Astyanax mexicanus: one gene and its partner. The protein of the gene in region 1 interacts with the protein of each later gene in a biochemical or structural test. Links are inferred from orthologs where the notes say so. Each region holds a gene or a part of one and is shown on either strand. Other genes may lie near its edges. The genes, in order: lyn and faslg.

Region 1 (8,638 bases):
GAGCCAAAGTGTGGAGAAGGAATTGCTCCCATTGTGAACCAAAGCATACAAGCCAATCAGTCAAGCATGATGGAGGTTTTGTCAAGGCTTGGGCTTTTCTGAATACTTCTTGTGAACGCATCATGAATTTACACATCTGTGGAAACTTTATTGGCAGTTTACATAGAAGAGCAACCGGTTTAATCAGGAGGAACTTGATCATGCACCAAGACAATGACCCAAAGTGCATTGCCAGCAGGACAACAGATTCACTTTACTTAACATAAATCTCATTAATGCCCAATACTTTTGCTCAGCTAAAAAAGGATGGGCAGCGACCAAACAATCCTTTTTTGTACGTTAAAAAGGTCTAGATGTAAATATCAGAAAATAAAAGCTACAATTCTGATCCATCATGTCTTTATTGTATAGCAAAACAAAACAGTTGGTCTTTATAGTTTTCCATATTTTTGAACGTGAGTGTATATAGCGCAAATTGCTGTTTAAAAGCATGCTTAAAAATGAATTAGGAACTCCCCCCAGGGGATTGGTTGGTTTACAAATGCCCATACCTCTATTAGTTCCGAGTTGTTATCTTATGAGTGAGGTTGAAAACTGGTCAGTGTGCTTTTCTTTGAGTTCAAGCTGGGCATGTTACCAGGTGCTAGATCGGTGTCATTTCCACAGTCAACCTGAGTATTTTTGCTGACCATGTCCATCCCTTTATGACCACAGTGTACACATCTTCTGATGGCTACTTTCAGCAGGATAATGCACCATGTCATAAAGTATGAATCATCTAGACAATGAGTTCACTGTACTTGAATGGCCTCCTTGGTCAACAGATCTCAATCCAGTAGAGAACCTTTTAGGATGTGGTGAAATGGGAGATTCGCATCATGGATGTGCAGCCGACAAATCTGCAGCAACTGTGTGATGCTATCATGTCAGTATGGACCTGATTCTCTAAGGAATTTTTCCAGTACCTTGTTGAGTCTATGCCAGAAAGAATTAAGGTAGTTCTGAAGGAACCTGGTACTAGCAAGGTGTACCTAATACAGTATGTATATAATGTCAGCTGTAAAAGAGATCTCAAAATTACTTTGGCATATGAGATTTGACCGCAATGCGAGGAAACCACCAGAAGTCCACTGAAACAGAATAGCAGGTGCTCAAAGGTGCTAGAAAATGATTTAATGTTTCAAGAGAAACAGAACGCTGTGAGCTTCACTCAGGAATTCATGGCACGACTACCATCCAGAAAGCTTTTGTATCAAAAGACCAGAGTGCAAAGACCTTTACAGGAAGTTCTGAAGCACAAATACAGTAGCATGCAAAAGTCAAAGAACACCTTGCGTTTATTTAATTCCTAGCCTAGCTTTCAGGAGATATTTCTGCGGAGACAAGAAATAAGATAATCCTCCAGCATCCGCTCAGGACTTCAATGACTGCATTCCAAGAAGATTAAAGCTATTCTGGAGGCGAAGGGTGGCCTATGTCCAACCTTCAATCAGAACAATTTTTTGTTACATAGACCAGAATACACATCAATTAAGCATAAAATCATCGATTAACCCACTGACTAATATGTGGGATCTACATATTAGGCAGCAAATGAACAGTCAGTTCCTAAAGGTGTTGGGGTTTTTGAAAGCAGGAAAAATTGACTTTTAAAAAAAGTGTAGGAATCTGAGCTACGTTGATATCAATGTCCGATTTGTAATGACCAAGGGATTGAATGGTTTAGAGGATCTCCAAAACATCAGATCTTGTAATGTCTTTGAAACAGATGCCCTGCATGGTGTCCAGCATGTTTCGCTGAGCATAATGCCTCTTTTCCCAAACTTGAAATTCCTCCAAAAACTTGCATGGACACAGTGTTTGTTCACGGCTGTGGTAATTAGCGCTATCTGGCTAATATATCAGTTTAAACTGTGCTTTAGGCCAAAAGCAAAATCAAACTACACCAAAGAACAGTGAGGACGGGGCACTAAAACCGCGAAAGAGAGCAGCATTAGTGACGTTTGACCACAACCTTGAAACCTGAAGAGACTAACAGTTAGTCTCTTACAAACAGTATTCACTCTCACAGTAAAGACGATTAAAATCACATTCTAATCAGTAAATCATTTATTTATTACAGCTACATCATCTACATAAACAAGCTACTGATTGTGTAAACTCTGTAAAACCCTGAATTGCCTGCATTAAACTGATTTTACAGTCATACCTATGGAGTAGTTGTAACCCAGTATGAATCTGAAGGGCTTGTAATTTTACACTAGAATAGTCAGAATCATAGAGTGATTTAAATCCTGTGTGAATCTGCAGTGCATCTAGTTTTAAAATCATTAAAAACAAGTATGATTATGCAGTATGTGTAGTTTTAACAATCTAAAAGTAGTAATTAGGTGTAATTTTAACCCAGTATGAGTGTGCGGTGTAAAGCTTTAACAGTCTTACAGTGTTAATTAAGATGTGACAACAAGTATGTATTTACAGTAGGCATAGTTGTTTCAGTCTAGTAGCAATAATTGTCTATTTTTTATCTAGTATGAATCTGCAGTGTGTTTAATTTTATCGTTGGCATTCATAATAATGAACATGTTTTAATCCAGTAAAAATCTAAAATGTTTGTAATTTTAACAGTATGACTAAGAGTTGTGATGTTACTTTAGTCCAGTATGAATCATCACAGTGTGCAAAGTCCAGCAGTATTAACTGTAGAGTGGTTTTATTCCAGTATGAATCAGCAGTGTACTTTATTTTTAAATCTGACCGTCATTATTTTGTAGTGATTTTAGTCCAGTATGAATTTAACAACCATACCATCATAATAGTAGCATGGTATTAATCCAATATGAATTTGCATTTTGTATATATTTTACAGTCTGACAGTGTTAAATATATTCTTTTATTAAACCAGTATGAATTTGCTGTGTGCATAGTATAACAGTTGATCACTCAAGTATGAATCAACATCATGTGCAATTTTTACAAATTGAACTCTTAATTTTGGTTGGCCTGTTTTAATCAGTGTGTTTACAGTTTGTGTAGTCTGGCAGTAATAATTGTATTGTGATTTTGATCCAGTATGAATCTGCAGGGTATATCATTTTTACAGTAAGACAGTTTACAGTATGGTCTGACTTTTATTCAGTATAAACCTGCAGTTTTTATAATTTTTACAGTGAGACAGTATGAATTATAGTCTGATTTTGATCCAGTATGAATGTGCTGTAAAATTGGAGATATTGTTTTTATTGAGACACGTTATTTTAACAGTGTAACCATACTAATTAGTGAGCAATTTTAATGCAGTATGAATATGTCATGCTAGTAAAATATCAGTTATCAGTGAGACGTGGTTGTGAGGTGTATGGTAATTGGTCCTACAGTGTATTACTGAAGTGAACGTCCAGCCTATTACCATCCTTTCTGTGGAAGTTTGAGGAGCTGGGGGACAATCTGCCAGTCAAATCTCATACATTATACAACCTATTTGAAGTAAACAATGTAATCCACCTAGATTTATTGTGTAGGTGTTTAAAGTACAGCAGCTTCAGATTAGTCTTAATGTTTTATTATATTTCTCTCTCTCTTTATAGATTGCAGCTCTGGCAGGCCCTGGTGGGAAAGTGGAAGTGGAGCAGAACTTTCTCAATAACAAACTCAAAACTATAACTGCATACTTCGGCAGTTTGATAAAGTCAGATTCTTAGTTTCGGTATTATTATTTTAACTCCCTCTCCTTTTGTACTTTATACACAGTTCTAATAATGTTCAGTGGATTCTGTACTATAATGTACTATAATGTGTCTTTCTGTATGTTTTATCCTACCATCCTTTTTTTTTACAAGTTATACCTGCCATGTTTGTAAAGGGAATTGTTTGTTTATTTGTTTTTTTAATAAATTAAAGTTCATGTCCTTTCGTGTGCATGTGTGTGTGTGGTCTTTGCCCTCACAGTGTTCACACTAAAACTGTTGACCGAGTGTGGGTGTGGGCAGGCCGGGGAACTGTGGAAGTACACTCATTTATCAGGGCTTAATTGTTTGTTAAATTTGAGGGGTTGCCAAATTGTAGTATTTCCTGCTTAGGAGTAAATGCAGTATAATTCACTATTTATCATCGTTCACTTATCTAGAAATTTGGCTCCTTGACCTGTTTTTTTTTTTTTTTTTTTTTTTTTACACCCAGATCAAAAGGGTAGTCCAACCATTTTTATAATGTAGGCATAGTTCATAGTTCATCACTTGAGATATATGCATAGTCATTCAGAGATTGAAATAGTTTATTGGAGAAAAATGGACTAACTAAAATTGATGGTAAATGTAACTCTGCATTCCCATGCCTACAACACAAATATATAATATTTTGTTTGCGGTCCAAATCAACCAGTGAATCGTTTCCTGTCTTTTAAATTTCATGTTTAATGCTGCTGACTGTATAATAGGAAAAAAAACTTTAAACTCAGGACTTAAACAGGAATAAAAGGGCTGCAAAATTTGTGACGATGGCGAAGACATTTGCCAGTGTTGGCTTGGTGGTTAGAGCAGTGTTATTGGTGATGGGGTTCTGGGTTTAAAACCCAGGTTAAAAAAAAACAGCCATTGTTAAACCCTTAAAGGGAATCCATTAAAGGAGGACGAGTAAACTACCTTAAAGTACTGTGTGTATAAACAGATTTTTCTTTTAAACTTCCTGTGCACATTTAAAGTTATCAGTGCTTTGTTTTAACTATTAGCACCCTCAGAATTCTTCCAGTGAAGTGTGGAACCGTTTTTGGCGACAAAAAAAAATAAAATAGTGATTTCTTTACATGGGCCTGTTAGGAGCATTGAATGCTGGGGGTGAATGGAGGTAGGCTACTCGACAAAAGTTCACACTCGTTATCATATTTTACTACACACAGGAATTCTCCTTTAAGCCTTACTACTTCCCAGTCCCAGGTGGATTTATAGTTCAATTTTAATGTGTCAACACAAATTTTGAATATGGTTGTCAGGAGCCCATATCTACTGTTTATTAACCACCAGAAATACTGTATCAACAACTGAGCAATACCATAGTAGCCACCTTGCTAAAACAGTACTCTGTAGTTTTTTTTTTTTCAATCAATCTTTATTCTGATGCTTTAACTGAGAAACCCCCAAAACAATAACTAAGTAGGAGTGTCTGCGTGGATTAAACATACAGCTCCACCTGTCTAAATTATAGTACGTTTTAGATCTACAACTTGTGCATTGACTTCCATGCGGCTGTTTTATTGGTTCTGGGCTGAAGGCCGGTTCAGTTTAAGCCCTCCATCGTTCACTGCACTGAGTTTTAGCCCCCTTTATGCAAATGCAGTGCGGGTAGCAGCAGGAAGTAGCTGCAGGTTCCTCTTTCTGTCTGTCTGTCCAGCTCACTTCAATGAGTCTCGCGACCACAGGCGAGAGAGAGAGAGCAGCGCGCGCTCGTTTGGCTTTACCCTCAATAAACTCTCTTAACTTAAATGCGTCACAACATTTAAGCTTCATATAACTACAGGTAAGATAATCCTTTAAATACAGTCTCTCTCCAGCTCCTCGTCTTTTTCCTTCCTTCTTCTTTTCTTTCTTTCTTTCAACTCTTTCCTCCTAACGAGCTGTTATACTCCTATCCGTTCTACTTTAAATCTTCTCATCTGACACGTTAACTAGCTGGTGGTTTTCAGGTGCTAACCTGGATAGTGTTAGTGAAAAAGCTGCGGTATTTAAGGTGGAACGGACAATTCGAGTAATAAAATAAGTTAAGGTGATTTGTACAGTTTTGTGACGTGAACAGTTAACTTACAATAAAAGGGTTAAATAAGGTATAAAAGTAAGAAGATTTATAGTAAAACGTTAAAAAAGGTTTAGAAATAGCAAGAAATTACAGTACAGCCATATCAATTTGTATAAAAGTGAAAAAGCTAAACAAAAGGGCTATAAAACAGGAATTAACATTAAAAACAGTAAAACTGTAAAAAGAAACATGGGTGTACAATGTTAAAAAGCTTTAAAACTAGACAATATTGACAGCAAAACGTTACAAAAAAAAGGCTATTAAGCCGATAAAAGATAGAAAACGTAAAACCATATTAAAACAATGAAAGGGTGTGAAAAACAAGTTGACAAGTCAAAGAGGGGTACAAAAAATGAGAAATTTACAGTAAAACATTAAAAATGGTTTAAAATAAAAAATGTGAGAGTAGAACATTAAAAGGATATAGAACTGACAGACAAACATTAAAACTGTATGAAAATAGAAAATAATACTGTAAAATATTTGTAAAAGGGTGTAAAAATTGGAAAAGCAAAACGGTACAAAAAAAGGTACAAAAAAAAGAAAAATTCACAATAAAAAGTAAAATGTTAAAGAGATATAAAATTGGACAATTGACAAAAAAAGCATATGAAACTTAACAAAATGTCAAAAGAAATATTACATTAAAACAGTAAGAAAACAAAAGAATTCCGTAAAAAAAGGATACAGGGCGTAAAAACTGAGAAAAACTAAGAAAATGGTATAACATCAGGAACATTTGACAATACATTGTGAAAGGGTATAAAAACAGCCAAATCTACAGTAAAACATATATATTTTTTATATAACTAGACAAGAATTAACAGTTGAACATTAAATAAAGATATGAAAATTAACATAACTTGACAGTAAAACATTAAAGGCATACAACAGAAACATTTGGAGAGAAGTAATAGGACTGTTGCTGTTTAAGCTACTTTTTCTATTGGCTAACTAAAGTAAACTCTTATTTGTCTCTATATATAGATTCATGTTTAGATTTTGAGAAAAATATCCCACCTTTGCAACATTGTATATTTTTTTGTAATCTTTATCAACAGACATTGCAAATTGTGTTCACATCCTAATGTAGCCTAAAGCAGGAACTGGTCACTCAGTCCAGAATGACAGTTAGAGCGTGAGGTCAGATCAGCTTCTGCTTGACCAGAATAAAATTGCTGCTTAATGCTCATCGTTGCCAGAAAAATGGAGGGGAAATCCTGTACAAGGTCCCAGAAGAGCTTGAAGTGAGAGATCTTAATCAGCAGTGGCTTTAGAAGAGCCCAGTAAACTCCCCCGACTCCCTTATCCCATATCTCATGGTTTTACACATAGTACACATGCAGTGCATTAAACAATTAAGCTCAATTAATATTTGAAATTTAATTAGTAATGATCTTTTCATCTGTACTTTTATAAAAGTGAAGTAATAGTGATTAGTTGGCACATTTTGTCTCGATGGTGCAATGAATTACTCTTTTTGGTCTTCCTGAACACACCCATTTCTTAACATTTTGTCTTTCTTCCTTTTTCTTTTTAATCATGTACATTTTTAATTAACTACTTAATTACTAATCAATAGTGACAGTGCTTATTAATTTAATACCTTCAAACCACTAATTTAGTTTAAATATTTGGCTAGGGAATTGTGAAGTGTGAACTGATTACAAGACCCTCAGCCGATCAACCAATACATTAAAAACAATTTTGTGTAGGTCGCATTTGTGACACCTACATAGGTCTGTCCTCTCGATGAGGGACTTTACAAGACCTGTGAAGGTGCCCTGTGGTATCTGGCATCAAGACATTAGCAGCAGACCCTTTATGCTATGTAAGCTGGGACGTGGGGCCTCCATTGATCATATCAGTGGTCTTCACTGGTTTCCTGTCTTGAAGCACTTCTGTGTACTGGAAAAATCCCACTAAAGACTTGCCTGATATTTTGGAGATGCTCTGATCCAGTTGTCTAGGTGTCACTATTTGGCCTTGCGACAGTGTCTCAGATTCTCATGCTTGCCCTTTTTATCTTCAAGAACTGACTGTTCACTTTGAGCCTAAAATATCCCACTTCTGGACAGGTGCCTTTGTAAAAAAAATCAACCAATCCATGTTTTTTGCCTCATCTGTCCGCAGTTATAATCTATTGACTGATTTATATAATATAAATAATTGACGTTTTATTTATAAAAATCCTATAAATAAACTTTTCTGGTTTTTAACATACAGAACAGAATTTGGCTATAAATAAAAACAATAGTAATGATATTAGCCAGATGTTTATGTCTGGAATAAAATGATCATATTTTATATCTATAAAAATTAAATAACGTACAATTTGAGGTTTAAAGGACGATTAGTATAAAAGCTACTTGGCCTTTCGTGATACTAGAGTTAACGCCGTATCATACAATACACTTTTATACCCTCAATCATTTTTGCCGGCCTCCGTATTGCAAATTCACTTTAGTTTAGTTAATGAGTATGTACGCACCAAAAATAAAATCTGTGAGCAAAACTCAACAAAATGAAACGTTTGCCCAAAAGTTGAATAATAAATATAGAACACATTTTTTTTCACAGCTTTTCATTAATTTTGTTTACTTTTTTCACCACTGCATCAAATAAAATGGATTTTTCTAAAATGAAACTACAAAACTACAATTTTAGCCTTTTAGATTATCTTATGTACTGTTTTACTGAGACAATGAAAAACAAGTATCTCCTTTGTTGAAAGACTGTTTCAAAATTCCTTAATGATTATATCAGTAGTGATTCTCCTAAATTACCTGAAATAAACTTTTTCCATTTCCATTGAAAGTTTTTATCTCTCTCTTGTAAAGTAGCATTTTAA
Region 2 (8,596 bases), on another chromosome or scaffold:
TTTTCTCCAACTAAATTCTAATAGTTTGTTCTGTATTTATAAATGTGTAAGTGTCTACAGAGACAGACGTCTTATATTGTAAACCACATTTTAAACTTTACTGTGTACAGTACTGTGAAAAAGTATTTCCTTCCTACATATTTATTTGTTTTTTTGCATTTTTAATTTTAATAAAACATTGAGATTAACTATAATTAATATCAGACATATAACCTGAGTAAGCAGCAGGATTGAATTTAATTTAAAAGGTAAAAAAAAAAAAGTGTAAAAAAGTGTTAGCCCCTAAACCTCCCTTAGCAGCAGCAACTGAGTTTATGATAACTGGTAATGACTCTTTCATATTTCTGTTGAGTAATTTTGGCCTATTCTTCACTGCAGAATTGTTGTAATTCAGCCACATTAGAGGGTTTTTAGAGCATTTAGAGCATATGTCCACCAAAAAGTAGATGAGTCTGGCTCCGCTCCAGTATATTAAGTGAAGTGCTTCAATTACGAACAAGTTGTTTTAAAGTTTAGTGTTATTTAAAGGAAAATGCTGGTTTGTGTCAGCAGATACTAAAGTATTTATTATTATGTATTACTCTTTTTAAAGCAACAATTTATTTTTTTACACATTTAAAAAAAATATACAAAAAGCCTTAATCAAATATTCACTCAAGTCTGGTGAGTGAAGTCAGTGTATAATGAACATGAAAAATTCTATTGTCTTTTTTTTGTGCACTTAATACAAAGAATTTATCATTTTTGCCTGCCATTTCTTTGATGATAATGCGGTTTAAGCATCAGCTGTGAGAAAAATCTTCCATTCCATTGAAAGGTTGTGAATCATTCCTGGAAGCCTCTTGTATGTGATGGCTGAATCTGATATTATTTAGGCCAATTGTGGTGATTCATGTTTCATATTTGTTTGGTATAGCTTAGTAGTGTGGTCTAGATTGCAACAGAAACTAGGCGCAGATGTCGTTATCCAACTAGGCCGAATGTCTTGTCAGACAGTGTAACTGTCAGAATGCCATGTTAATACGGATATTTTTGTTTATTTATCATTATACATTCATTGTTGTTTTATTTCATATGGTTGTTAAAAGGGGCTAAAAATCTATACGAAAAGGTGTAAAAATGAGGGTAAAATGTGTTAATAAATATACGACTCTAAAATAATATTTGGTTAAAAAGAGGACTTTTAGTTTAGTGTTGCTTTACTGTGGAGCGTAATGAGTCACGTGATGCGAGTTAGTTAGGCGGGTAACTGGAGAATTATGGGTCAGAACTAACTCGGCGGCAGAGAGAGAAGACTAACTTAGCAGCAGAGGGAGAACAACAATTAAAGCTAACACGAGGTCTAAAGGCGCACACGGTAAATGTTTGTCTGTTAAATATTGTTTAGTAATGTGTTTAATATGCCTTTTTTCAATGAATCTTGTGTTTCGAGTTGTACACAGAATTGTTGTGCTAGCTAGCATATACTGAACGGTTGCTTTGTTTTGTGTAGTTTTCACGGTGTCCGATGAAGGACCAGAGAGAGGGAGAGAGAAAAGGAGAAATAAACCTTCAAAAGACATCAGTATGACTCGTGGCCATTATTCCATTAGACCGGTGTAGCTACAGACAGCGAGGGGCTCTGAAGAGTTTCCATCCGTGAAAAACTCAAACTGCTGAAGGAATCTGAGAAGGATTCTTGCTCATTGGAAACTTTTCTTAGAGTGCAGAAGCAGGGGGCTCACCAGAACATTGGAAAAAAGAGATGAGTGGTCATGACTGACTTACTATTGGGGAGGAGCTGACAGATTGAAGGATTGGCAAACGGACATGGAGTGCTCTGAAAAAAAAGAAGCAGCCTGTTCCCGTAAACTTGTGCTGAGAAAATGTGTTAGTGGTGGGTATGCTGCAGCAGTTGTACAAGTTAAAGTGATGCCGCTCGCATCATTTGCTTCAAACCGCACCACTAACCTCCACCCCCTCACCCTGTCTGTTCTCATGCAGACCCCTGAGACTGCGAGTTGCAAGACTGAAAGCGCATGAAGACACTCAGTGCGTTTCATGTGGCAGCTTCTGTTCCTCAGTGGTTGTTTGATAGGGTTACTGAAACTATCTTAGTCTGCTGCATCATTGTTTACATATACAATCAACCCCCTGTTTCTGAAATGGTGATCACATGTATACAGTCTCTTCTTTACATTTTTTAAAAACACATATATTTGCTGCTGAAAGCCGTTGTGGAGGGTATTGATCAGCCTCACTCTGCTCACAGTGTAGCAGATCTCACTTAGTCATTCTAAACTTTTTAACAGCTACAACGTCATAGTCCTGCCCCCGAGCGTTCTTCTCAGAGCTTAGAAGATTTCACATATTCTTTACCTGCTGACCTACATCACTGAAACGGCACGGGTGGTCTTTTGGTTAAACAGTGTGGGTCTTCTGAAGAACTCTTTCTAGGCCATTATGGTGAGACACTGTATAAACTGGCATTACATTGCACTGACTCTAAAGCAGCACTAATCAAAAATGTAATAAAAATTGTAAAAATAAAATAAATAAAAAGTGCCAATACAAGAAGAATGAATAAACAACAGCACTCTACAAGGCTAAATGTGTACAGTACACTCTAAAAAAATAACTTTTAAACAAAAAAAGGATTATTTGACTTGGAAAAGTAGACAAACTATGTTGATAGAAATGTTTTACAAGATTTAAAAAGACCCACATACAATTATGCTTTTACATAATAGAGAAAGATCTTTTAAGCAGTTACAGTGGCTTGTACTTTTTCACATACAGTATTGTCACCGTAAAACCACAACTTTTATGTATTTTATTGAGATTTTATAGGATAGACCAACAGAAATTAGCACATAATTGTGACGTTTAATTCAAATGACATAAAAAATACCAAAAAAAAAAAGTGTGATGTGCAAAAGTGTTCAACCCACATATATCAATAATTAGTAGAGATAGCTTTCACTGCAGTTACAGCTGCAGGTTTTTTGGGGTTTGTATCTACCAGCTTTGCACATCTGAAATTACTAGTTAGAAAGTCTTGCCACAGAAGCTCAATGAGATTTATGTCAGGACTTTGATACATTAATAGTCTCTGTTTTAAACCATTCCACTGTAGCGCTGGCTGTATGTTTAGAGTCATTGTCTTGCTGGAAGGTAAAATCTCCTTCCAAGTCTCAAGTCAATGAATTCTATTTAGAAATGTAAGGATATTAGGATATTTTGAATTTTATTTTGAATACTTTTGTACGTCACACATTTTTTAAGATTTTTATTTCATTTAAAATTTGGAAACCATGTTTTATTTTTGTTCAACTTCCCTATTATGTGCTAATTTTTTTTTGTTTTATCATTTAAAATCGGGAAAAAAAAGTACATTTAGGTTTGTGGTTGTAAGGTGAAGAAAGGTGTGATGAAAAGTTCCATGGTTATGAATATTTTTGCAAGCTTCTGTAAATGGCTCTTTAAGAAATTATGGTTCTGTTATTGTTGTTTACAAAAGACGATACAAATACACAATAAATCTGCTTATACAGTGGAGTGAGTCACTTTAATACAACCTGTCTGACAGCATAAGAACCTTTATTTCCAATTTTCTACCCAGTAGAGTTTTTCAAGTTCAATTAGGCACAACTTTGTCAACACAGCATCTACACGAACAAGGAGTCCCTCAAGGGAGTATCCTCTCTGTCACCCTCTTCAGTGTCAAAATCAACAGCATTGCAAAGGAAATCAGTCCAAATCTCATCAGCACTAAGATCAGCACTTGGTCTTTCAAAAATGGCTTCAAGTTTTCTAAACCCAAAACTGTTTGCACTCACTTCTGTCAACTGCGAACTTTACACCATGAGCCATTGTTATATATGGATGGTGCAGCAATCCAAGTTGTGAAAGAGGTTAAATTCCTTGGTCTTACATTTGATAATAAATTATCTTTTATTCCACATATGAAGAATCTTAAGAAGAGATGTTTTAAAACTCTGGACATTTTAAAAGTGCTGACAAAGACGAAATGGAGGGCAGAGAGGACTGTTCTGCTACGCTTGTATAGAACACTTGTGCGATCCCGTTTGGACTATGGGTGTTTTGTCTATGGATCGGCAAGAAAATCTTACACTCAGATGTTGGATACTATTCATCACCAAGGTTTAAGACTGGCCTTAGGGGCCTTTAGAACCTCACCAGTGCAGAGTCTTTATGTGGAAGCTGGAGAACCATCCCTTCAACTACGACGTTTGAAACTTGCTCTACAATATGCAGTTAAAATCAAGGGAAACAGAGATAACCCTGCCTACTCCACTGTCTTTCAACCGCAGTATCTGAATTTTTATGAGGCTAGACCCAGGACTATCAGACCCTTTGGACTGAGAATCAAACCTTTTCTTGATGATTTGAATGTTGATCTAGATGGATTAACATCTACTCACCTTTGTTCTATTCCCCCTTGGACCCTGAGGCAACCTATAATCGTGCAGGACCTGAGTCACAAAACAAAATCAAGTACACATCCAAACGAGTACCAAAGTTGCTTTCTTGATGTTAGACAACGCTTTTCATCGTACATTCCAATCTATACTGATGGCTCAAAAACTGATACTTGTGTGTCCTCAACAATGGTAGTCTCTTCCAATCATTGTGGAATACGCATCCCAAACTTAGCTCTATTTTTTTTTGGGCTGAAGCCCAAGCCTTGCTTTTAAGTCTTGAATACATCGAACAACACCACCAACACAAGCCCCTGATTTGCACAGACTCTAGATCATGCCTTCAGGCTTTGGAATTTTTAAAGACTGACCACCCCCTGATTGTTAAAATACTTGAAAAACTGGTCACATGGGCCTGAGTGGTAACGAAAAGGCAGATAGTGCTGCTAAAGGAGCTTTGAATGAAAACATCTCTGAGTGCCAGATCCCTGTCTCTGATATCAAACCTGTACTTTCGTCCTATATTATTGATAAATGGCAAGCTGAATGGGACAGCTGCGATGACAATAAGCTGCATGAAATCTGCACTTCTGTAAAACAAACTGTAACTCAATTATTTTCTTGTAGACATGATCAAGTTGTTTATACAAGGTGTAGGATTGGACATTCTAGGCTCACCCATGTTTTTTTTACTAATTAGAGATGAACCTCCCCTGTGTGATCACTGTGGCAATGTTTTATCAATCAAGCATATTTTATCTTGTCCTGCTCTTAGAGTGAAAAGACAGCAGTTTTTTTACAGAAATTACTACTGTAGATATTTTTAATAAGGTCTCACCTTTGAAACTTTTACCTGGTACAGATCTGGCTTTGACCATTACTATTAAGTAGAAAAGAGCTGGTCCGCTAAAAGCAGCTAAAAGATCTCAAAAATTAACACATTATGCAGATCTGAAGTTGGTAGTGTGATGGTCTGGGACTGCTTTTCTGCTTAAGGGCCTGGACAACATGCTGTAAAAGATTAAACCAGGAATTCTGCTGTTTACCAGACAATCCTGAGACTTTTGCAGCAGGACACGGATCCAAAGCACACAAACAAGTCCAAGTCCACAAGTCCACCTCTGAATGGCTTAAAAAAACGAAGGTTTTGGAGCCTAGCCTAAGTCTGATTGAAATGCTGTGAATGATCTTAAACAGGACATTCATGCTCGAAATCCCTTCAATGTGGCAGAATTAAAACAATTCTGTAGAGGAGAGTTGGCCAAAATTCACCAAAAGACTCATTGGCAGTTTTTGGTAAAGCTTGATTACCTTTGTAGTTGCCAAGTGTTTTGGTTCAGGGGCAAACACTTTTTTTTTACACAGGGCTAGATTGGTTTGAATTTTTTTTCCTTTGATAAATAAAACTATCATTTAAAATGTGCTTTTTATCTTTATCTGGTATTAAAGTTTGTTTGTTAAAATTTTGAAAAATATCAGTATGACAAAAAAGCGAACAACAAAAGAAATCTGTTGGGGGCCAATACTTTTTCACACCACTGTACATGACTAACTGTAATGCATGTACTCTGAGTGCATTGTGTAAGCAGGCAAAAAGTTTTCCTGTCCGTGATGTCATCAGAACCCATCTCATCAGCATATGCATGCTGAGAGAAAGAGAGAGAGGTAGGTTGTGGGAGGGCCACATATGAAGTGTCGACCACATAAGAAGTCTTTTAAAAATTTGTAGCTCTGTAACTCTTTTTATACACACACTCACCCTTGGACAGACTGAGAGCTGTAAGCATGAATGGTAACCTAAGGTACCAGTATCCACCAGTGTTCACAGTGGATGCTGCAGGAGGCCTTCATCAGCAGCATCATCATCATCATCCCCAGATGGCTGCTGCAAGGACAGATCCGACCCTGGTTCCCTGCTGGACCTTTCCCCCTGCTCGTGCCCAGACCAAGAGGAGGAGCTGTGGAGGACTGACCTCTGCTGCAGGAACCCTCCTGGTTATGGTGCTGGTGGTGATCTTTGCTGCACTGGGACTGGGAGCCTACCAAATTAGGAAACTCGAAATGGAGGTGATAAAGCTCAAGAAGGTGAGAAGCTTCACTTTTGTCAAGAAGAGTTTCATAAAGTGACAATAAATAGCTGATTTTGATGCCTATGAAGAATCACAAAGAATAAGTTCTTCTTTGTATAGAAGAAACTTTGAATCAGTTCAGCATTTAATAAATGTAGCATTCAGTGGGTTCTTTAAATTGATGGTTATGTATGACCATTGCCTTTTAGAAAGAGCCCCCCTCCCCTGTTTAAGTGTATGATGTTTGATTATGTATTATGTGTTTGTTTGTTTGTTAGTTTGATCTGGAATTAACTTATATTAAATTATAAATTATTTAAAGTTCTAAATTATTTAACTACAAAAAAATAGTGGCCACTAAAAACCATGAGCAATTGAAGTGCTGCCCCCCACACAGGTCCTTGTCATTTAAGTTCAATGTATTAATTTCTAGATTTTCTAGTTTTTTCTAAAGCTTAGTGCATTAGAGCATTTTCTCTGCATTTTGACATTTACTTGAGCACACTCGGACCGGAATCGTCTAAAAAAAGATAAAGGTTTGTGGTCACCAGTCCATCAGTACAGGATATCCTCTACTCAAACCAGAGCGCAGTCAGACATACATCTCACCTTCTTCTTAAGAAGTGAAAGCTGAGCATAAAGGGCACAAAGATGGTCTCTCTACACTCTAATTCATCCTCATTTACACATTAAGAAGTTTCTGTACATTGTTTACAAGCACCAGTATAAAAATCTGATGCATATGCAGAATTTAACACCCCTCATACTGTATTTCTATTTCTTTCATGACAGGAAATGAACAAACCAACTGAAAGCATGGCACCGCAGAAGCTGGTTGGTAAGTTTCTCAGGCTGTTATTACCTGTGGCCTGCTTGTGCTTATTGCACTTCATCAAACACAAACATGAGAACTAACCTTCTTCTTACCTTTTGACTTGTTTTCAGGAAACCAAGTAGAAGCAAATGAAAAGGCCAATCATATTGAAGCTGCACATCTGATGGGTAAAGACCATTTCTTTTTTCTAAAGGGTTCTAGTGTGAAATAACTCCTACACAACAGCAGGCATCATGTGTGGGATCAGATAAAAGACTAATTAAAGATTCTTTTTAGGCTGCACATGAACACACAAACACACACACACAAGCACTTTCCTGTGGATGACTAAGTGTGTCAGACTGCAGGGGTGTTAAACCTGTCCACATCGAGCCTGTTTGTCTGCAGGCTGTCATTCTAAACAACCTGCAGCTCTCCTCATTTCACTTGTTTAATCAGTTGGTGAGTCTACAAACAGCTGTGATGCATTTCTGCATGGCTAGAATTAAAACATACAGCCAAACTGACTGCCCATGGAGTTCTACCACCCAAACCCATGTGGATCAGGACAGGAACTCAACTCTTATATGTCAAAATCTCATCATAAAATCATATATGTCAAACTTTTAATTCTTAAAGGTGCCATTGAATACATTTATTAAGTATATTTTCTAATATCTATATAGAAGAGACACAACTTTGGCACAAAAAAAAGTCCGCATGTGGTTCTACACACCCTTTTCAACTGTGTTCTTGTGTTTATGCAACATGATGAGTCACTATATTAAGCAAATATTTAGCAATGTTTACTGTATAGTGCTGGTATCATGTCCTGTGGTGTGGTAAGGCTAAATAAGGGTTTTTCATACCCTCCTGGGATTTATGAAATTGTGGCAAAGGTTGCCTCATACAGATAACTACAAGTAACCTAAATCCTGTTGTAGTTAACTAACTTGCAAAGGAAAATGCAGTTTTTCTCTCTAGGGCATATTTAAGAGGCTTTTTTTTAATTGAATACAATATTTGAATATATACTTTTTTGAAATTATGAAAGTGAAAGTGTAAACGGTGGGCTCACCACATATTGGTTCTGGTTTCATTAGTAATGCTGAATTGTAATACCAACTTTTTCTTCATTTCCATTCAGGAAAAATGCAAAGAACAGACACCTTGAAGTGGGAATCCAAGCATGGCCGTGCTTTTACAAAGGGCATCCAGTACCGAGACGGCAGTCTACTGGTGAACAAGACGGGCCTCTACTTTGTCTACTCGCGTGTAGAATTCCTTTCAAA

Evidence for each region.
Region 2: the proteins of lyn (region 1) and faslg form a complex in vitro, tested with the Homo sapiens proteins (2 studies listed by BioGRID, with this or other methods). The link is inferred for Astyanax mexicanus from reciprocal best matches to the Homo sapiens genes LYN and FASLG.

What each region holds. Positions count from the first base shown.
Region 1 is NC_064411.1:37,346,926-37,355,563, forward strand, and holds the start of lyn (tyrosine-protein kinase Lyn), read left to right. Parts: upstream 1-5,363; 5' UTR 5,364-5,511; intron 5,512-8,638. Other genes in the region: tgs1 (trimethylguanosine synthase), read left to right, coding at 3,588-3,701. UniProt on the Homo sapiens protein: Non-receptor tyrosine-protein kinase that transmits signals from cell surface receptors and plays an important role in the regulation of innate and adaptive immune responses, hematopoiesis, responses to growth factors and cytokines, integrin signaling, but also responses to DNA damage and genotoxic agents.
Region 2 is NC_064408.1:62,927,115-62,935,710, forward strand, and holds the start of faslg (tumor necrosis factor ligand superfamily member 6), read left to right. Parts: upstream 1-5,279; 5' UTR 5,280-6,206; coding exon 6,207-6,506; intron 6,507-7,282; coding exon 7,283-7,328; intron 7,329-7,435; coding exon 7,436-7,492; intron 7,493-8,451; coding exon 8,452-8,596. UniProt on the Homo sapiens protein: Cytokine that binds to TNFRSF6/FAS, a receptor that transduces the apoptotic signal into cells. Involved in cytotoxic T-cell-mediated apoptosis, natural killer cell-mediated apoptosis and in T-cell development.